Linked DNA regions of Drosophila melanogaster. The protein of the gene in region 2 purifies or fractionates together with the protein of the main gene of each other region. This does not show direct contact. Each region holds a gene or a part of one and is shown on either strand. Other genes may lie near its edges.

Region 1 (6,908 bases), 9.5 Mb from region 2:
CAATAGCTTTTCGATGGCAATTGCAAAAAATAAAAATTTTGAAATAACTTACCTCCTGTATTGTGTTTTCGGGCTTTTTAGTTGACATATTGAGGAAACGCTCCTGCGATTGACAAAATTTCTCCGTCTTTTTATCAAATTTCTTTTTGTTTTCTTTGACGCCACCGATTTGCTTTTTTCGAAAATCCTCCAGTGACTCAATAATATGTTTATCGGCGAGCGTTAGCTAGTTGGTAATTGTTAATAGATTGTTCAGATTCTCACTAATTTGGAAACCAATATTATATGACCCGATCAGACAAGCCAACTTACCATTTTTTCGCGCTCATCTTCAATATTGCCAATTATAGCACCAAATCGCTTGAGACTTTCACAAATGACATTCTCATCGTCGGTCTGAGCAGTGCCAATGCACTCAAAGTTAAAATCGTTAAGTAAAATGGCCAATTGTTTCATTCGAGTGGACAGGACTGAAAAAGTATTTAAATGCAATTTGACAAACCATTGAAATAAATATGAAAGCAAAAGGGAAAACATCAAACATAACATAAATCTCATTAGAACTAGACGTCTTTGCCTCACTTCCCACCACATAAATACAGCACAGATATACGAAAAAAAAAAAACATGTATAAAACGAGGCCCTTTTTGGCGAGTAAAAGAAACCCTGATGCTGATGCTGATCCTGATCCTGATCCTGATCCTGATCCTGATCCTGTTCCTGACCCCGAACCTTTGCAACCTAAGTAAGCTAATAAATTCCCAATGTCCATATGTCCATTTCATCAATGTTAGGACACGCGAAAGGCTTTGCTACTTGGAACAGACATTTCTGAACTTTGCAAATAGTATACGAACACTGAAGGAAGATCCAACGGAGTCCGAGATTGTCGAAATAGACCACGAAGTGCCGCCAGAGGAATACCTGGTGCCTTACATCCAGAACTACGAGTGTGCGGATATAATAGTCACTGTTCACGATCGCGTCTTCCTTTGCCACAATATCATACTAAGTATTTACTCAAGGCGAATGCTGAAAATATTGCAGGAAGATGTTGACCATATTGTCTTTAAGTCGAATGATTTGAGCCCGAAAGGATTCAGCGACGCATATCTATGGATGATTTCCAGTGATGGCGAGGTTAATCCGTGCGATATGGGCGAAATTTTGAGGGCCGCATACTTCCTGGACATTCCCGAGCTGCTCGAGGCCTGTTGGGCGAACCTGGATAGGATAACATTCTTTGAGATCTCTGCGTTTCGCCTATTGTTCGAATTACGAGGCGCCACCAACTTGTGGGATGTATTCGATAAGCTGACTGGGCGCATTTCCATTTCAATTTTGCCAGTCGCATCGACTCGGGAATTCCTGTGCCTCAGCGAAACACAAATTTGCTACATACTCAAGTCCAACTTTCTGGCAATCAATTCGGAAATGGAGGCAAGTTCTATATCTATAGTATAGTAGAAGTATAACCATGATATATGAATACACAGCTTTTATATTCCGCCTTAATGTGGCTAGCGCATCTTTGGCCGCAGCGACGTTCGAGCACCTATAGGGTTTTAAGTCAAATTCGCTTCAGCTTCCTGCCGCCCCTCATGCTAAAGAAGTTCAGGAGTGAGGAACTCCATAAGATGCCCGAATTTAGTGACATTCTAAAGGAGTTTAGCAAGTCGCCCGATGTCATCACACTTCTGCGGGACTCGGTGTTTAACAGCAGTTTGCTCTTAACCGTGCGCAACAATCCGAGTGTACTCGATACGCATGTGGAGTTCACGGAGGTGGAGCTAATGGAGCCACGCCATTGGGTACAGGATCATACCTGTGACTACCATCGGAAGGTGACACAGCTGTGTCCAAATATGCGTTTCATAACGCTAAACGAATATCAAGAGTACCTAAAACGCCTGTCGATTGGACCCGAATTCAATACGTGTTTCAAGCATACCAGGGATCGGGAATCAGAAGGACAAGAAGATATGTGGAAGCATATGTGAATAGGCATTATTTATAAATCATTTTTTGTATACTTTAATAAACAGACACACGTTTTACGCCCTCCGGTAAATGGATTGTACTACTTACTCTTTGCCGCACTCATAAGATCTTTGACCTCTTTGATAATTCGTTTTATTTGATGACTAGTGTGGTCCAGTTCCTTTTCATGTCGATTTAAATTTTCGCGAAAGTCCGGACTGTCGACGATGCATTCTTCGAACTCCAGAGGCTCCAAGCCGCGGCGTACATTTTTGCCGCCGCCCATGATGTTTGCGTTTGCTTTTAATAATATTGAATTTGAATATTTGCTGTGATTTTCAGTTTAAGTTTCAGTTTTATTTAGGTTCTTTCGATGTTGCTTTCCACAGAGCTAAGTGCATTCGCAGTGACTGATATATTGTGATATATTGTGTAGATTTGTCGGTTGAGTTTCGAGAAAACTGCGGTGTTTGCAACATTTACAGCTGGAATTGCGCTCCTTTTATATATTTACTATTCAATGCAAATACTGTTTATCAGTTGGTGGATTATGCATATTGGTAATCCTTCCTGCAAAGACAACTGATATAAGATATCTTTTTAAACAACAAGTAGAGTTAATTGCGCAAAACTTGCATTGCGGCTGAGCGGCCAAGAATACGCTAAGTTACTTTGAGAAAATATTTTGTTCTAGCATGAAGAAACATGATTCACTCGATTCTTATCAACTCTGTATTAAAGAACTTGCATTCTCTCTTTTAGAGAACCCATTGCTTTGTGTGGTTTAAAAACGATATTTTGAGTACATCGCAATCACCGGAATATGAATTTATAGCCTAAATTGACCAATAATTAGCAAGTGAAGTCCATTATGTATTATATTTATTCGTTTTGATCGCGCAGAGCTCTGGCAATTGTGATTTTGATTTAAGGTCGGTTCCCCACATTCGATAAACTTTAAACTGTGAAATTCCGAAAATAAGAGCAGATCCGAAAAGCAAACTGATGAGATTATATAAAAAGATAAATTGAAACACAGTGCCACGATAAAAAGTGGGCAGTCAACGACTAACTTTCATCAAGAACGGACTATTGTTAATTTCTTATCGTCTGTGTACCGAGCAAGACCCACACTCTAGTAAATTTCTTATCTTTTGCAAACATATACATATGTACAAGCGTTTACCAAAAACAAGTTTAAATACACTTGCGAACACTTTCCTATTACAGTGAAACCAGCCACAGGCTGATAAGTCGTCGCCATTACATAAATGCAAAACCGACTTTGCAATTGAAAATCATGTTCAATAAAAATTGCGAAAGTCAGCCACTTGGAAAATACACTTTGAATGCCATTTATTTATGGGTGTATTTAAATCATAAAGTTGCTTACAGACGCCTGTTTACTACATTGTCATTGTTGTATATGTTTTTCTTATCAGATCTTAAGATAGATAGGCGCAGGCACGGAGAATTCTCAGAAATAATCGCCTAATCAATATATATTTTAAACAAATTTTAGTGGATTCCAGGCCCAAGTTATCAAGGAAACAATGACGCAGATAAATGTATATACACCCTAACTAAAACAATTCACAAAACATATCCCCTTTACGCAATAATAGTCTTTCCATTCAAATTCGCAAAGTACTTTTATCCGGCTCATAGGACCATTGATTACTGATAACCAGTTAATCACCTGTTTTCACTTTCTTTGACTACAACAACTTTAAAAATCCTTGATAACTTTATAAGCCTAAGAGATAGTTATATATATGAAAATGTTAGGCATTGAAATAATGCAATATATATGTATTTATTTAAAGCCGAGTTCAGATAGTGCAATTCAAGATCATGGGAAATTTTGTTGGCGAGTTTCCACTGATGGAATGCGCAACGAGTAAAAACACAGCTGTTGCTATGTATTTTCGCTAGATATACCTTAATACCTGTTGAATACGAACTTATGGTGGATTTTTGGGGCTTAAAAAACAGTTAAACATTCCGTTTTAAATTATCTTATCGGTTTTTTTTTACAGTTAAGCCCGCTTAAAATTGTTGCATGAAGCTAGGTATGTACAGGCATACTTGCATACTTGCATACATACAGATGTGCACCGCCTGTATTTGTATGTTGTGTACATTTGTTATTTAAAAATAACTTTAGTTTATGTTCGCTTACTGATAAATAACTCATATGCGCACTTTACAACACTATGTGCATAAGAATGTGTTGAAGGGAGGGGTGGGCGAGAGTTTTTATCGTTTCCTCTTTTTTTTTGCATAAACTTGTTAAATTTCGATGTACATATGTAAACATTCGATCTTAAAACAGGTTGCGAGGCCACTAACACCATAATTTCGATATCGGACATACCCCTGGGATGAAATTCAACTGCAGCACCAAATCCTTTGTTTATTTCGCATGCATGTAGTTGTTTAAAAAACTAAATAATATATATATATCAGCATACATATACGTAGATACACACCAGCACACATACATACGCAATGCAATGGAATCACAAATAAATAAATAAATCAAATCCTTATAAACGAATCGTCGAGGGGCTCATGTTTAGACGCTTTTCATATGACTTTAGCCCATTGGAATTCACTTATACAAAAATAAATGCTCTTAGTTACGAAAGGCAACCGTCGGTAGTTTTTCGCGTACCGCAACCGCACACACATTTGTGCCCGTGTTAAAATTACTCACAGAGTAAACATTAGTGTATGAGTAATTTCCCAATATCTAATGTTGCTCTGATCGAAGAACGCAAATTGGCCGTGTCGTGTCGCGCGTTTCGCATCAATTACGCGATATTATTCAGCATCAATTGCATATTTCGTTTCATTGTATTCTAAATGCACCACAATATATATATATTACTTTGACTGTTAAATCTCCGATTAGAAAAAAAAATTAATGTAGGTCTGATAAAAATACACAAGTTATCTGAACGTGCTGTTAAGTATATTAACTGTGCTGTTAAGCGCATCAAATACCCTGTCTCCACCGCGACACTAACATTTGCAGGAGTGTCCATAAGCTTTTGCCGTGCCATCTACTTCTCATGCGTTCCAACAACCACCTGTTACTTACTTGTTCGCATTTCAACGCATTACTCTCTCCCATTCTCTAACTTTAATTGACAGAAATGATTGGGAAACAAAATGAAAGCGCTAAAACTTCTTTGATAGATATCAAATGTTTATTAAGCGTCTAAAGTTTGCAGCATGCATAGCTTAGCACGAATTGTGAATCATCTATTTTGTCAATGAACAACATTGCGCGTCGTTACATAGAGAGGGGTGAATTCATTACCAAAATGTATTACAAATGTTACAAATTTATTAAAAACTACAATTTCTGATTTACATAGTTGCGATAATAATCACATCATGTTTCCACTACTCCAATTATAAGAGCATGTGGAATCGAAATTGACCAGAAATAATCGATGGTCAAGCAGCCGTGCCCCAAATATCGCTGATATCGATACTGTGGCCGATGTTTTGACAGCTCTTTTGGTTATTCTGCACCGGCTCGCTTTTATGCTTTGTTAAATTATATTATATAAGTATGATGCGGAGCGTTATTAATCAATTACTGGGTCTCCGGTGGGTACACTTATCGTTGCTATAGTGGCCATTTAGTAAATTCTGGTTTCTCCATTCAGGCTCAGTGGAAATAGCAGTGTTTTGGTTACGCAGGTGCGCGATAAGGGCCATTTGAGCAGACCTCGACTGCGGAATCCCCAATGGTTTCTGCGCAAGGAAATTACAGTATGTGACATATATCTTTTTATCTATAAACAAACTACTCATTTGCGTTTTATTGCAACAGAAATACAACGATTTGATGACGGCGGAGAACAAGCAGTTCGTCAACGAAGTGGGCACCAATAACTTTGGCGTTCCGGCAGTTATTAAGGATAGTTTGGTCAAGACCGCGGGCCCAACCGCCAATGAGGCTGTGTGGACTCCGAATTTGCGAAGATGCGGCGTTATAGCGCGCAAAATTGGCCAGTACCCGCTGTGGCTAAAGAATGGCGAGCGGATTCGCACCACGCTGCTGCAAATCGTCGACAATCATGTCATTAAATACATTCCCCCGGAAGAGTATTTACCTGCCCAAGTTCCCACGGTAGCCAACCTGCACAAGCGCGGCTGCATTCTCGTTGGCTCCGAGACCACGAACCCAGCTCTGTTGACCAAAGAGTACGCGGGCATATTCCGCAACTCGGGTGTGCTCCCCAAGAAGAACCTGGCCCGATTCATCGTCTCTCCAGAAGCCCAACTGGCGCCAGGCACTCCACTAAATGTCAACCACTTTCGCGTTGGTGACTTCGTCGATGTTCGCGGCAAAACGTAAGTACATACGTCTAAGCGCTGGTTATACGTACTCTACTTATATTTTGCAGAGTTGACCATGGCTTCCAAGGTGTTGTCAAGCGACACGGATTTAAGGGCATGCCAGCATCGCACGGTGTGACGAAAACTCATCGACGTGCCGGCAACATTGGCGGTGGTGGCGAGAAGGGTCGCGTCTGGCCAGGCACAAAGATGCCGGGACACATGGGAAACCGGTGGCGCATCATCAAGGGTCTGCGCGTGTGGCGCATTAACACCAAATATAATGTTATGTGGGTGCAAGGGAGCTCGGTGGCCGGCCCCACCGGCGGTCTGGTCTACATATACGATACCATCTTGCCAACGCGAAAGAATAAGGAAGCCCCACCGTTCCCAACGTTTTACGGCGAGCCGCAGCAAGATGGGGATGATGTGTGGTACGAACAGGTGCACAACTTCAAAAGCGAGTCAATAACGTATGAAAACGAATAACTTTAGTGCTTAAGGTATTATAGAAACCTAATTGTTTGTTTTGAAATAAAAGAAATAACTAATTTTATATATGCAGAGT
Region 2 (7,392 bases):
CGATGAAGGCGGCGCCCAGGGCCAGTGCCACATGACGGCAGCTGTTGCATGGAATAGAGAATATGAAAGGCGGTTTAAATCAATGGGAGTATCATGGTCAGGATAAGGCACTCCGACCGACTGGGTGTCACAACAACAAAACTGGGTGCACTTTGGTTAGCTAGCTAGGATTACACGGTTTTGCAGGCATTTCTAGAGGGGTTGATTTAACTTAGGATGCAGCATTGCTTGGGGGTGGCGGCGGCATCAGTAGGCGTGGCACTTTACCAAGGCACAGAACCAAGAATCAAAATAAAAACGCAAGTCAAGGTGGGGTGCCATTCACAAAACCAAAGAGTGACCAATTACAGCGTGCAAATTGTTGGTATTCTAGATTATCACATTTATATATGTACATAATTCCAGTTGCTTGACGTGTGCTTTGGGTTAATCATGATGGGTAATATATGTACACAGGTCAGTGGTTAGAACTTACAAGTCCAACTAGCTTTTGTAGAACCTTATTTTCGTGCTTGAGAAGGAATTAAATCTTGAATGGAGCAAATATCATACATGCAAGTTGAGATTCATTAGATTCATTAAATATTAAGTATTGTGGCTTTGTTAGCGGTTGGTAAAGAAAAAGTTGATACTCTATATGGGAATATAAATAATTGATATAATTTAAGGAACACTTCTGTATCATCATTATCTTCTTCAGGGTATCCAATCGTATCAAAGGGTATCAAAGTAGTACACCAAAAAGTGTACGAAATAGAGACTTTCAGGACACGTGAAGCGTGAAACTTTGGGGGCTTCGAGGCAATTAATGGATTACATAAGAGTTGGCTAATTGTACTTATTGATTGAAACGCAGGCCATGCTCATGCGAAACCGGTTGTGGTCGGAATAGGAGCTTCATGCATTAAGGAAAGTGGAGCGTACGAAATGATGATGATGAAATGCCTTATCAGGAATACTGGTGTTCTAGCGAGATAAGGAGATCAATCCGTGTGGGAGCGGAGAAGGGAAATCCGCAGGGCTTTCTTTATTTACATGATGATATGGCATTTTGGCTTGGTTGGGTCTTTGCATGCACTTGCTGGACAGGATTCTCACCTAATTGGGCTTTTCTTCTTGATGTCCGCAGCAGCCAGGTCACCAATGTAGTATTTCTTCAACATCTCTCTGAAAAGGCAAGTGGGGAAGAAATGTGAATCAGGTGATCCAGGCGCACTGGCTATAAGATGGACTCTCTAACCTCGCCTCCGAGCTGTGACCCACGTCATTGAAGGCCTTGGTGGCATCGCGACCGGCCTCATCCACCAGGGATTCCTCGCCACCGGGATGCTGGAGATAAGGGCATCGAATTAGATGGATTCGCCACCCCCCCCTAAAACCAACAATCTGCATCGCCACTTGCCTCGAGACGGAACTTGGTCACATCGTAGACCTTGTTGTCGATGACCACCCACAGATCCGTGGCTTTGTTGTGTTCGTTGACGGTGGCCAAACGGATTTCCTTGCTCATCTTGCCTGACTGCGCCTGCCTGCTCTTCTCCGCAAATTTAACTAAATAACGCAAGCTAACAGGTTTTCGGACTATTCCAGTGTGGCCGGCTCCACTTTTCGTTGGAGTCAGCTGGTCACACAAAATACCCCAAATATACCACATAAGGTACCTAAGCAATAATTCCAATGTACCTGTGGTACAATTCCAGTAAAATACAATAGAGTATTACAAATTTAAATATTCAAATTAAATCCACCACTCCAACGCCATCCAATGTTTATTGCAACTTTCTATCAAGAATCCCCCACAAAATTAAAAACCCTGGGAAACACAGATAAAAACTACATAGAGTATTACATTGAACACACAAATTGAAAATTTTATTCTTCGAATACCAATAATTATTGTGATTGATTATTTTGTGCCTTTGAATAAACCAATTTACTAAAACTTAGTATGAATTCTTGAGTTATGCCCTGTGGCACAACTAACTAACTTCAATTTTTATAAGGGTGAAAAAATCTAGATGGCGCCACCACGCAGACGCAGGACCAAGTGAAGGGTCGACTCCTTCTGGATGTTGTAGTCGGACAGAGTGCGTCCGTCCTCGAGCTGCTTTCCGGCGAAAATCAAACGCTGCTGATCTGGGGGGATTCCCTCCTTGTCCTGGATCTTGGCCTTAACGTTCTCAATGGTATCGGATGGCTCGACCTCCAAGGTGATGGTCTTGCCAGTGAGGGTCTTAACGAAGATCTGCATGCCACCACGCAGACGCAAGACCAAGTGAAGGGTCGACTCCTTCTGGATGTTGTAGTCGGACAGAGTGCGTCCGTCCTCCAGCTGCTTTCCGGCGAAAATCAAACGCTGCTGATCTGGGGGGATTCCCTCCTTGTCCTGGATCTTGGCCTTAACGTTCTCAATGGTATCGGATGGCTCGACCTCCAAAGTGATGGTCTTGCCAGTGAGGGTCTTAACGAAGATCTGCATGCCACCACGCAGACGCAGGACCAAGTGAAGAGTCGACTCCTTCTGGATGTTGTAGTCGGACAGAGTACGTCCGTCCTCCAGCTGCTTTCCGGCGAAAATCAAACGCTGCTGATCTGGGGGGATTCCCTCCTTGTCCTGGATCTTGGCCTTAACGTTCTCAATGGTATCGGATGGCTCGACCTCCAAGGTGATGGTCTTGCCAGTGAGGGTCTTAACGAAGATCTGCATGCCACCACGCAGACGCAAGACCAAGTGAAGGGTCGACTCCTTCTGGATGTTGTAGTCGGACAAAGTGCGTCCGTCCTCCAGCTGCTTTCCGGCGAAAATCAAACGCTGCTGATCTGGGGGGATTCCCTCCTTGTCCTGGATCTTGGCCTTAACGTTCTCAATGGTATCGGATGGCTCGACCTCCAAGGTGATGGTCTTGCCAGTGAGGGTCTTAACGAAGATCTGCATGCCACCACGCAGACGCAAGACCAAGTGAAGGGTCGACTCCTTCTGGATGTTGTAGTCGGACAGAGTGCGTCCGTCCTCCAGCTGCTTTCCGGCGAAAATCAAACGCTGCTGATCTGGGGGGATTCCCTCCTTGTCCTGGATCTTGGCCTTAACGTTCTCAATGGTATCGGATGGCTCGACCTCCAAGGTGATGGTCTTGCCAGTGAGGGTCTTAACAAAGATCTGCATGCCACCACGCAGACGCAGGACCAAGTGAAGGGTCGACTCCTTCTGGATGTTGTAGTCGGACAGAGTGCGTCCGTCCTCCAGCTGCTTTCCGGCGAAGATCAAACGCTGCTGATCTGGGGGGATTCCCTCCTTGTCCTGGATCTTTGCCTTAACGTTCTCAATGGTATCGGATGGCTCGACCTCCAAAGTGATGGTCTTGCCAGTGAGGGTCTTCACAAAGATCTGCATGCCACCACGCAGACGCAGGACCAAGTGAAGGGTCGACTCCTTCTGGATGTTGTAGTCGGACAGAGTGCGTCCGTCCTCCAGCTGCTTTCCGGCGAAGATCAAACGCTGCTGATCTGGGGGGATTCCCTCCTTGTCCTGGATCTTGGCCTTAACGTTCTCAATGGTATCGGATGGCTCAACCTCCAAAGTGATGGTCTTGCCAGTGAGGGTCTTAACGAAAATTTGCATATTGCCTGAGTGGAGAAATGAAAAAGGGAAAAAGTTGGCTTGAGTAATGGAAAGTGGAAGGAAATTGATTTTCTGCGTAGTGACCCAATTCCCGTGACCCAGAAAAGTATTTTAGCATACACATACAGAAAACATTATTGGTTTTTTCGTTAATGTTTTCACAGCTTGCATTATTTCGCCATGAAATGGCAAATTTAGTTTTGGTGACTAATCTCTAACTTCGTTAAAAAAAATCCCCTGGAACTGGGCATACACACACACACACACACACACACACACACACACACACATAGATAGAAGCATGGAAAGCACCGTTTTCTGCTTGCTGCATCGCCATTTTGAATGCAACTAAGAAAAACTATTAAGCAATTGCCAAACTGAACTCACCTTATTTTCTTGTTTCGCACACAAAAGTTAATTTATTTCTTTACTGTTGGTCTGCACTTTTTGAAATATTCAAAAACTTGCTTTTATTTTACTTGCTCGGACGTCCGCTCTCTACGACTTTTTCACAGTTTATGATTCGTTTCGCAGCCCCACGCTGGTATTTATAGGCAGCTGACTGGAAAGTCGTCGCCTGCTCTCTCGCTCACTCTCGGGCGGTAGGTTACTTTGTTTTCGCTCTCTGCCACTTAAAGTGACCGTTTCTTTTGTCTAGTCTATTGGAAATGAGATTTCGCATTGACAAGAGTATTTAACACATGAAGGCCAATCAATTGGCTAGCTGCAATACGCAAAATTGGGCATTGAAAACAAAATGCGTAGTGCATATGTGCACTGCTTTTATCTCGCTCGCTCTCGTGAGCGAGAGAGCGGAGTTATCGATAAGTTGCCTGACCCTCTTTCCAACACTAATCTCAGCTGTTGAAGTGTATGCGTTTGTGTGTGTATTCTAACAGAGGGAGGTGTATAAATTTGTATATACATACATATGTATGCATGTAGACGCACAGACATCTTCTTGTGACGTTCTTTGTTTGGCGAGTTAATCGACCTTTTTTTGTTTTGACGCCGCCTGGGAGATTTGTCTTCGCTTTGGTCATCAGCCTTTAGACAAGAGAGCCCAACAATTTAAAATTTCCCACCAACCCACTCGCACATAAGCCAGTATGCGTACAATGCTATTTCCATATGTACATATGCATTACAATTGCATCTGGAAAGTTCCAGGAATGGAAGGGTCTGATGAAATCTGATGTATGCTGATTTCAGCAGCTTAACCCTTGATGTAACCCCTTAAAATAGTAAACGTTATTAACTCTTTAAGTACAAACTAAAGATATAGGATAATATATACAATTATTCAAATAATTGTCATGAATTTCTCATACTAACAATCCAGTGTACATGTATTCCCCATGATATGACAAAAAAAAAAAAACAAAATAAAGTTTTTCCTTCCAAAAAAGTGAAGTTTTTTTTGGAATTGGTAGCTTCTTACTATAAAATAGTTCCAAGTTACACGAGATTTCATTAAGTTTGCTTTATATTAAGAAATAAATTAATGTATTTATGGATCCAAATATAAGAAATGTTTTACAATTATGGAATTCCACGCAGCTGGAGATGCCCAGCGTGTTCAGCGAGTGCGGGCAGTTGGCGTTCGTGCAGGTGTTGCAGCCCCCCAAGTGGGGCATGTCGCTGAACGGCGGATGGTTGTAACAGTACGGGCAGAACGGATACGAACGCCCCTTCACGCCAGTGGAGAAAGCCAGCAGATCATCCAGCGGGCACTTGAACTCGCGATACACCTTCACATTCCAATGGGCAGGGCGTATGTCTCATCGCAATGAGAGCAGTGCAATCTTGCCGGTAGAGCAGTGCAATGCCCGACTCGGCCAGCGGCGAGAAGGATACCTGAAACAGTGCGTCCATGCTGTCGATGTTCTTCACAAAGTACATAAACTTCAGCTTGAAGATCTTGATGGCGTGTCGCAAAACATCCTGAAAGTTAGCCGATCCCTGGGCAATCAACGTCAGCATGCGCTCCACCTCCGTTCGCATGGTGAACGTGGTGATCTGGGGGGATTCCCTCCTTGTCTAGGATCTTGGCCTTGACGTTCCCAATGGTATCGGATGGTCCAACCTCCAAAGTGATGGTCTTGCCGGTCAGAGTCTTAAAGAAAATTTGCATATTGGCTGCGAGTGGAGAAATGGAAAAGGAAAAAAGTTGGCTGAGTAATGGAAAGTGGAAGGAAATTGATTTTCTGCGTAGTGACCCAATTCCCGCGACCCAGAAGAGTATTTTAGCATACACATACAGAAAACAAACATTATTGGTTTTTTCGTTAATTTACAGTAAATTTAGGTTTGGTGACTAATCTCTAACTTAGTCAAAAAAAAATAATAATAAAATCCCCTGGAACTGGGCATACACACACACACACACACACACGACAAGTGTGTTCATGCTCAAATTCGAATTTGGATTAATTAATTTGAATTAAAATTAAAATTTGAATTAAGAATTTAAACATGTTTTGATTCTTTCGGAGCGGAACAACCTCTTAGAAAGGGAAAAGGCTTAAAGGTCGCGGACAGACAACTAATCATCCTCTCGCCGTTCTGATGCCTAAGCAAAGGCTCTGGTGTCCGATTAGAGGCGGCATAAACCTCCACCGGTAAAACGCCAGGGAGAAATCCGTGGCCCACAATGGATCCCTTTCTAACGTTGGTGACCAACAAGCCGTAGTCCGCCCATTAGATCAGATGGACAGAACAGGGGAGGCAGTGCCCGATCCCAACGACCCGTTCAGGAGGAGCTACAGCCTATCGAGATCCCCTACAAGAGGAGTCCGAACTCCAATTCACGGAGCGAGGGGTGAGCAAGCAGCCGAAAACTAGCGACTGCAGTGCAGCTGTAGATGTGGAGACTTTGGCCCCTACAGCTTCTATGACTGCCACAAGCCAGAAGACGATGGACTTCATTAGCGTGCCTCCTCAAGGGCGGGAACAAAGTCCCCATCACGATCTCCGCATCGCTCGTCGGATCTGACCATGACCTGCTCACCGATAAAATACTTTGACTGGCAGTGCCGGTGAGCTTGACAAGGACAGGAGAGAGATCAGAGATTTTTGTTTAGTACGTAGGCATAATTCTCTAGCTGAGAGTTATGAATCGTGCATGCCATCTACGGACGGTGGACGGTATCTTTGAATTTCATTTTCCTGCCGTATATAAAAAAAACACACAGATGCATGGAATGCACCCTTTTTCGCTTACTGCACTTGTTGCTTCGGCATTTTAAAAGCAACTAAAAAAAACTATGAAACACTTGCCAAACTAACCGGAATTTTTTTCCTGTTTCGCACAGAAAAGCTAATTTATTTCTTTACATTTGGTCTGCACTTTTTGAAATATTCAAAAACTTGCTTTCTTCACTTGCTCGGACGTCCGCTCTCTACGACTTTTTCACAGCTTACGATTCGTTTTACAGCAGCGCGCTGGTATTTATAGGTATAGGTATAAGTTGACTGGAAATTCGCCGCCTGCTCTCTCCCTCACGGTGGGTTAATTTGTTTTCGCTCTCTACCACTTAAAGTGACTGTGAAGGGTCGACTCCTTCTGGATGTTGTAGTCGGACAGAGTACGTCCGTCCTCCAGCTGCTTTCCGGCGAAAATCAAACGCTGATGATCTGGGGGGATTCCATCCTTGTCGTGGATCCTGGCTTTGACGTGTTTGATGGTATCGGATGGCTCAACCTCCAAGGTGATGGTCTTGCCAGTGAGGGTCTTCACAAAGATCTGCATGCCACCACGCAGACGCAGGACC
Region 3 (8,101 bases), about 10 Mb from region 2:
AATTGGGTGCACACATATAGGATCAAGGACGAACAGAACATCAACAAAAGGCACTTGGACAGCTGCTCATCGCGTGGCCAAGTGCACACAGTTAGAAAACATAAAAAATAGAAGAGCAGTCGAGAACACGTTAATGGAAATGGGTTAATAGAAACTATTTTATGCTGATAAGGCTTAAAGAAATGGATCTACTAAAGCTAAGTGAAGCGGCCCGGAATACTGACGGTGCTCGGTCTAGGAGTACTGCGTGTGCGGGTTCACGTTGATCATCTCCATGTTGCTGTTGGGTAAACAGAAATAAAACCATGATTAGTTCAAGAGCCCTTAGTATAGGAGGTGTCAATCATTTTGGCCAGTGCCCGATTAGGTAAAACGCTACTATCAAACGCTACTTAATTGTCAATACTTATCGCGCACCGAGCAAAACGCTAATTTGGCCATGAGAAACGATTCGGCTTCAATGGGGAATGAAATACTCGACTCTTAGCAGACTTAATGAACTATAATGCTGTGGGAGTGGGGGATAAGGGCAGGATGAATGACGATCGGTACAATGAGGATGAATCAACGATGTGCGATGATCAACTCACCTGCGACTGCATCGCATATGAATAAATAGCAGGGCCAGGCCCAGGGTGATGCAAATGGCACCCACCACAATGTACGCAATGCCCAGGAACGGGTTCTTGCCACCGAGCACGGATGTGGTGGAGAGTATCATTCGCTTCGTGCCGTCGAACGACACCACCGGATAATCTGAAGGGCAAAACACAAATACATTAGATACAGCATTCGCGATATCCCAGCCATTCGTACTTACTATACTTAATGTTAAGCGTATAATTGCCAGACTTCAGGCCGTTGGCATAGTTGGTGTTCGTTTGGTTGAGACGGCGATATAGCTTCCGGAAGCTGGGCAGAGCGGCGGTGCGCATCCACACGATCAGATCCTCGTTCTGGAAGCCATTGTTGTCCGGATTCTCCGGGTCCAGGTCGGCCAGACCCTTCTGCCAGAAAATTGGCTTTGAGAAGCCCTCAAGGGAGACGTTCAGGTTACCCTCTGGGTTTCGGAACTTGACGCGCTTGTCCGACGGCCAGGCAATGCCCGTCTTCAGCAGCTTGATCTCGGATCCACCCTGCAAGAGGGTCAGCGTGTCTGGAAGATATCAATGTTAGTTGCGGTACAGTCAAGGTAGTTTCTGTGCCGCACCATTGAACAGCGAGTTGGCAATGGCACCGCAGGGCGCGATGGGCTTTCCGGAATCGGGATCATAGGCGAAGGGGGCACAGTCTGTACTGGGCGTTTGCGACAGGTGACCCAGCAGCTGCTCGTCGTCCCGTGACTTCACATAGCGCCGATGGTTCTGATAGTAGTTGGTCAGTCCGTAGTACATGTATACCACACCCTTTAAAAAAGGAAGTTAACGAAATACTTAAATGAGAATCTCTTTCTAAAGTATTATAAGGAATCCAAATCCACTATCAATATCATCAATATCTTTTCCAAACCTGCTAAAAGCAATGTTGATAAATGCCTTGCAGATTATAAAAGCAGCATATAGCTTTTCATTTGAACTACTTCACTACCTAAACTAAGAGCTGATTAATTGAGCTGGACAGCTACTGAAGCTCTGGATCCCTATAACTCACATTGAAGTCCGAGGGCAGGACGAAGGGCACCTCGCAGGGGCACGTAACGCCGGGGTTGGCCTCCAGATACTCCGCACAGGTGGTATTTCCGCCCGAGCGCCTGCACTTGGTGTAGTCGATGATCAGCTCGTTGGCGGTGTTGCTCAGGTGGAGCAGGACCACGCCGATGGGTATGAATAGAACTCCGATAACGAAGAAGGTGGGCAGTACGGTGCGGGCGGTCAGGACGGGCTGCCAGGCGGGCAGGCGCTGTTGCTTGAAGGCCGAATCTGTGGGTGGACAACATGGGAAACGGGCAAACGTGAGCGACTTGGCATGACCTCATGGTTAATGCAGGGACACCAGGATGGGCCCCGAAAATCGATTTGCCATTGGATATTAGTCATTCCCCTCCTTATCACTTGTTACGCAGACAAGTGTGTGTGAGTGTGTTATTGGGGGATTGGGATTTGGATGGGGCGACTCGCATGAAACTGGGTTTTCACCTGAAGGTCGCTTGGACTTCGCCGCTGCACTCTCCTCATTCTCCGCTTGCTGTGTGGACATGGTGGCTTATCTGGTTTCTCGCTATGCTCCTCGAAAAGCTCCTTGGTGTCCAAACGCTGCAAGTGACTCCAATTGAATAAAGTAAATACAATAAAATTTCGATGACAGCACATGAGTCATCGATATGTATCGATACCTGCAGTGATGGTATATATCGATGAAATTTTATCTATATTTAGCTTTTGCTCCATTTGGCTTACCTTTGAGAAATATGTTAAACTAAGGTAAGAGGAAAATCATTTGTCTCTCCAAATTCGTCGTAATACCTCCAAATGAGCAATGCTCTAGCCATCCCATTCAACTATCGATAGTCAGACCGCGAATAGTATCGATAAGGCGTCGCATGCAACCGCGTGGAGGCGGCGTTTTCGTTGTTGTGTCAAAACAATAAGCGAGCAGCAGAATATCAGCACACCCATCCAGCTAGCAAAGATAAAGGCGAAAAGGCTAGACCAGCAGAGATTGTGATTCACTTTGCCACCCACCAGTGCAGTACATACCCGCGCTCGCTAACATTCGATCCACCTAAACCACGGTAACACAGAAACGCCAACACACATACACACAGTACGCAGCGGCAATGAAAATCACAGTGACGACCAGCGATGACAAGGTCTTCTGCTTGGACGTGGCCCAGGATCTTGAGCTGGAGAATCTCAAGGCCCTCTGCGCGATGGAGATCGGTGCGGAAGTGTCCCAAATAGCGGTAATTTTCAACGGGCGGGAGCTTTCCAGCGACAAACAGACGCTGCAACAGTGCGGAGTCGGCGACGGCGACTTCATCATGCTGGAACGACGCAGGAGCGCCAATCGCCCAGGTGAGAGAGAGAGAGAGTTGAAATTCGGCGTTGGAATGGAAACGAGATGGGAAAGTGGAAAGAGCGGGGTGAAGAGAGGGGGAGCCATTATCCTTATGTGGGTCACGTTTTTCCCCGTGGAGGGGGGGGGATCTTGAGTGTGTTTTGGAGGATGGTGAAGGGGGTTCATTGGTCAGATAACGCGAATTCGCACAATAATAAAATTAATTATTGTCCTACATGATCCATAACACGTTTATATTCAAATGTCGCTTAAAAAATACTTCAGCAACATAATATTTAGGAAAAACCGGGAAACCCCGAATACGTAGTGCGAACATTTCATTTAACAATACTTTTGCAATGTGAAATTTGAACTGTGCTCATTTTTTTTTTAATTTGTTGGCGTTATTAGTTGCTAGATTTTTATGGAAAAGCGCAGCGAGCACAGCTCATCTTTTTGCGGCGCAATTGGTGTTAAAAATAAACGCCTTGCTTCGTCTGACTTTCTTTTCGCAAATTCCAAAAAAACAGCGGCACACAGACACGGGAAAGAACACTGGAAGTGTGTGCTGTTTCCACTGCAGCAGAGAGGGGGGTTCGGGTTCGGTGAGGAATGGGCATACCAATGAAAGTGGAGGAGCAGCAGCAGGTGCGTTGCCTTTGCCTCAGTCTCAGCCCCATGGATCCACCCACTTGGGCCGCCCACTGTGGCCGGACCACTGTTTTGTTGACCCCTGAATGCGCATTTGGCCTTGTCAGCTTGTCCATTGAAATGGGATCGTGTATATATAATTGTTTTGCTATATACATATGTACATATGTATGAATGGTATTTCTGCACACATGTGCACACATTTTGGCGACTGCAGACAGGTGTGGGCGGTGAACAATTTTCGATTTCATTTGACCATTGCACAGCACTTTGGACTCCATGACTCGCACGCGAGCAAGCTCATTTGGCAGCCAGAAAATGAGTTCAACTACATATCACTTATCTACAGATATGTACATATTATCTAGTTAACACAACTGCACTTGCATTGGTTTATCTCGCTAGTCTGATGTTTTTAATTCGATTATAGATCACAGATTAATTAAGTTCCATTCAAATTGGATGACGGTGATTTAATCTATCTCGACAAACGTTTATACATATGCACATATGTATATAAATGTTTGTTGTATGGTAATTAGCATGAGTTATACGCAATCATTTATTTCACAATCTGCAAGCCAGATTATATTTGGGCAAAATTTGTTGAGGTTTTTAGGTATTGCTTGCTCTTTCTTTCTCAAAATTTGTTCCATTTTACGCGTAAATATGTTGATAATTTTCTCGATTTGTAGCAGATAACTGCACTGACCACAAATTGTCTTTTAAACTATATTCAATGTAATCGATTCGAATATTGACAAATGTAATCCTGTAAAGAAACGCAATAGAAAACTACCTCAATCGATTAATCTTTCGTCTCATTCAAAAATTTCAGTTGGCGGAAATCCAGCGATCAGCACGCTCGACTTCAGCAACATCGCCGTGCCGGGCACTAGTTCAGGCGGCAGTCCACCGTCAAGGCGGGTGCAGCAGCAGGGAGTGCAGCAGCCGCAGTTCAACAACCTCACGGACATACCCACGACCGATGAGTTCAATGTGAACTTCGACGACGACCCAGAGACGGTGCGACAGATGTTTCTGTCCAGTCCCGAGACTCTGTCGCTCCTCCGGCAGTACAATCCCAGCCTGGCGGAAGCCATCGATTCCGGCGACAAGGAAAAGTTCGCTCGGCTGCTTCGCGAGCATATTACGGAGCGAAAGCGTCGTAACGAGCACCGCATGCGCATGCTAAACGCCGATCCCTTCGATGAGGAGACTCAACGTCTGATTGCCGAAGAGATCAAGCAGAAGAATATCCAGGATAACATGGCGGCTGCCATTGAATACAATCCAGAGATCTTTGGCACGGTTACAATGCTGTAAGTAATGGTAAAAATAATTAATATGATTGGATTGGCTCATTGCAATATTGCATATTATTAGCTATATCAACTGCAAAGTGAATGGCATTCCTGTGAAGGCCTTTGTGGACTCTGGCGCCCAGACGACGATCATGAGCAAAGACTGCGCCGAGAGATGCCATGTCAACCGTCTGATTGACACACGCTGGAATGGTGTGGCCAAGGGCGTTGGCACACAGCCCATTCTGGGCAGGATACACATGGTCCAGTTGCAGATTGAGAACGATCACCTAACGTCCAGTTTCACCGTGCTGGGCCAGCAACCCATGGACATGTTGCTGGGTCTGGACATGCTGAAGCGACATCAGGTAATGAAATCTAGATAGCATCAGATTACGTCGCCTAAATGCTAATTGAATTGGTTTTTCCAGTGCCTGATTGACTTGCAGCGTAATTTGTTGATTATTGGCACCACGGGAACAACGACACCCTTTCTGCCGGAAAGTGAGCTGCCGGTCAGCGCCCGGCTGACAGGAAACTCGGAGGATTCGATGGAACAGGAGGCGATTTCCAATGCAATCGAGCAAAGCAAACGGGAGAGCGGTGGCGCCGGTGGCGGGCCCAACACGATCAGTCCTCAAGAACGATTCACCGAACAGGATGTCACCGATCTCATGGCCCTTGGCTATCCTCGCAGCGATGTGCTTACCGTGCTGCGCCTGTGCGGCGGTAACAAGCAGGCGGCCAGGTCCGTGCTGCTCCACCGCAACGATGCCGCCTCGGGGAGCGAACTCAGCTGAACGCGGCTAGACGCACAGCCCACACCACCACCTAAAGCCGAACTCCCCATAGCCAGAAACCGGATTGCAATAGGATGATGAACAGACTGGACCCCATTAACTGGAAGCCGTTCCAACGAAATACTCCGAGCAATACCAAATAATAAGCCACGCCACGCCACATATAAAGTCAAATAGGAAATAGTAAGGACTATACACAACCACAAAGCAATGAATACCGAAACGAAAACCTTTCTAATTTAGTGAAATGTTTATAAACTGATGTCACTTTTTTTATACGAATCGTTTGTTACGATGTACAATATCTAATTAGGGTGCTACGCAGCACTACCGGGTCATTTTTAAAGCAGAGGTGGGTTGGTTTTTTCTAGAGAGAATAGTAAGCGATATAATCTAAAATTTAATGAATGAAAATCTGGACGGTGATGGAAACAAGCCGCATCAACGAAAACATGAAACAAGTAAATACAAAAGAAAAACGAAAGAATGCCTGACTATTAAATAATATTACACTTATACACAATTTGAATTAGTATTAAGGGTCTGTCAAGAAAAACTGAATTGGGTTCAATAATAAATGGTCGATAGTATTGTTTTGGATTTGAAAAGAAAAAGATGAGCAAGCGCATTTTGATTTGTCTTCTTGGGCATCTCGCTGTTTTCACTTTTATAAATCTTTAATAGCATTCGTTATATGTTATGTATATAAATTATAAAATTACAACTTCTGATTTTTGCAAAACTCCTTTAATTGTTTGTTACAGTTGCTATAGTTGTGTCTGATGCTGTGGCTACGCTAATCCTCTTCCTCCTCCTCATCCTCCTCGTTCGCACGACCCGCCCCCGATCCCTTGTGGTTGAACTCCTTCTCTGGATCGAACTGCATGCCCTCCTGGTCGGCGCCATCCTCCTCGTCATCGTCGCCAGCCACCTGGGCGTTCTCGGCCTCAGCGCGCTCCAGGCGTCTGGCCAGATCCGCCTCGTCGATGGCCGTAACCAGTTTGGGTGCCATGATCACCTTGAACTCTCCATCGTACTCGCTGGTCTTGGCGCGAATGTGCTCAATGGCCACCTCCAGAGCCTTTAAACCGTCTGTCTTCTTGGTAGTGGATGTGGTCATTACATAGCTAAAAGGATACGGATGAAGAGCGATTACGTTTAGGAACCAATTAACTCATTTAAGCAACATTTTTAGTTATTTCGATTTCACAAGAAGTTGTAAAATTAAATTGAATATAAGTTTTTCTCTTAACCAAGTGGTCATTTACAATATATACAAGATGAAAGGGATTTCCTTATTATTTAACGATAAATTTCGGCTAAAATGAAGAACAGAAATCTACAATTTTCGTATTCTTTTAATTAAAGAAACCCTCGTTAATTTCGTCTACACCAAGGGAAATTACAATAGTTTACAGGTACTTACAGTGGCGGTGCTATCAGGTTGATGCGAATGGGCAGCTCCTCGGTGCTCAGCTCCAGGCCCTTGGTGAGCGATGCCTTGACAGCGTCGATGCCCTCGTAACCGTAGCAGGAGCACTCGATGTCCGCACGGATCTTGACAGTGGGCGAGACCAGCTTCCGCTTGATGTTGCTCAACAGGACCTCCTTGGTCTCCGGTTCCAGGTTGCACTCATCGAAGACGGTGGGATCGGTGACCGATTGCTTGAAGATGTCGTAGGCGACCGTCTTGTTGTTGTACTTCTTCTCGAAGTGCCAGGCGGTCTTCTGGTAGAGATCTTCCAGCTTCTCGTTGCCCTCGAAGCCGAGTATGTCGGCGACATGGCGGAGCAGTGAGTTGATGGCCTTGGCCTTAGCGAAGCGCTCGGTGCACTTCTCGACATCTTCGGGCGAAACGCGACGCTTCGACAGATCGATGTAGCCCTTCTCCTTGTCAACACGGATAACCACCACCGGTTCGGTCTTGCCGACACGAATCAGCTTGTTGATGGAGCGGATGCGCCGGCGGGACAGCTCCGACAGCAGGATCATGCCCTCGATGTTGTTGTACTCAAGCAGATGAACGTAGGCGCCCATCTCGGCGATGGACAGCACGTTCACCATAACGACATCCTCGATCTCCGGATACCGCTCGTTGTAGAAGCGCGACGTCAGGGCCATGTTAAAGTCTGTGGTCTATGGCCAAAAAATGGGCAATTTGGACTTTTCGAAATGAAAAACGTGTACAATTTCTGCCGAGCGGGCGCAAGAAGAAGAAGCGTAAGGTATGACAGTGGTGTTATCGATATTTAATTGCGTAGCCGGCAAAACGTTGCCAATTGGATTGCTTCTGGTCACACTGGAAAGGTGGGGCAGCAGCGGTCTATCGATTGTTTGTCACATGGATTG

The links.
Region 1: the proteins of Ubi-p5E (region 2) and Graf purify together in Drosophila melanogaster (affinity purification with western blotting, with the first as the bait; one study listed by BioGRID). This does not show direct contact.
Region 3: the proteins of Ubi-p5E (region 2) and rngo purify together in Drosophila melanogaster (affinity purification with western blotting, with the first as the bait; one study listed by BioGRID). This does not show direct contact.

What each region holds. Positions count from the first base shown.
Region 1 is NC_004354.4:15,755,767-15,762,674, forward strand, and holds the start of Graf (GTPase regulator associated with FAK), read right to left. Parts: upstream 4,884-6,908; 5' UTR 4,474-4,883; intron 4,429-4,473; exon of another isoform or gene 4,359-4,428; intron 2,552-4,358; 5' UTR 2,268-2,551; coding exon 2,090-2,267; intron 2,002-2,089; coding exon of another isoform or gene 1,543-2,001; intron 1,460-1,542; coding exon of another isoform or gene 628-1,459; exon of another isoform or gene 552-627; intron 471-551; coding exon 313-470; intron 227-312; coding exon 53-226; intron 1-52. Other genes in the region: CG8260 (uncharacterized protein), read left to right, coding at 671-1,459, 1,543-2,001; mRpL3 (mitochondrial ribosomal protein L3), read left to right, coding at 5,568-5,605, 5,665-5,770, 5,832-6,355, 6,409-6,829. UniProt on the Drosophila melanogaster protein: GTPase-activating protein for Rho family proteins. Essential component of the CLIC (clathrin-independent carrier)/GEEC (GPI-anchored protein-enriched early endocytic compartment) endocytic pathway.
Region 2 is NC_004354.4:6,275,130-6,282,521, forward strand, and holds Ubi-p5E (Ubiquitin-5E), read right to left. Parts: upstream 4,519-7,392; 5' UTR 4,007-4,518; intron 3,625-4,006; 5' UTR 3,620-3,624; coding exon 2,015-3,619; 3' UTR 1,747-2,014; downstream 1-1,746. Other genes in the region: CG3566 (uncharacterized protein), read right to left, coding at 1-41, 1,099-1,167, 1,241-1,329, 1,403-1,510; CG11700 (uncharacterized protein), read right to left, coding at 7,149-7,392.
Region 3 is NC_004354.4:16,439,007-16,447,107, forward strand, and holds rngo (rings lost), read left to right. Parts: upstream 1-2,546; 5' UTR 2,547-2,776; coding exon 2,777-3,014; intron 3,015-4,486; coding exon 4,487-4,970; intron 4,971-5,034; coding exon 5,035-5,320; intron 5,321-5,383; coding exon 5,384-5,752; 3' UTR 5,753-6,361; downstream 6,362-8,101. Other genes in the region: Cdc50 (cell division cycle 50), read right to left, coding at 235-280, 591-756, 821-1,156, 1,211-1,406, 1,651-1,919, 2,136-2,196; eIF2alpha (eukaryotic translation initiation factor 2 subunit alpha), read right to left, coding at 6,549-6,879, 7,179-7,873.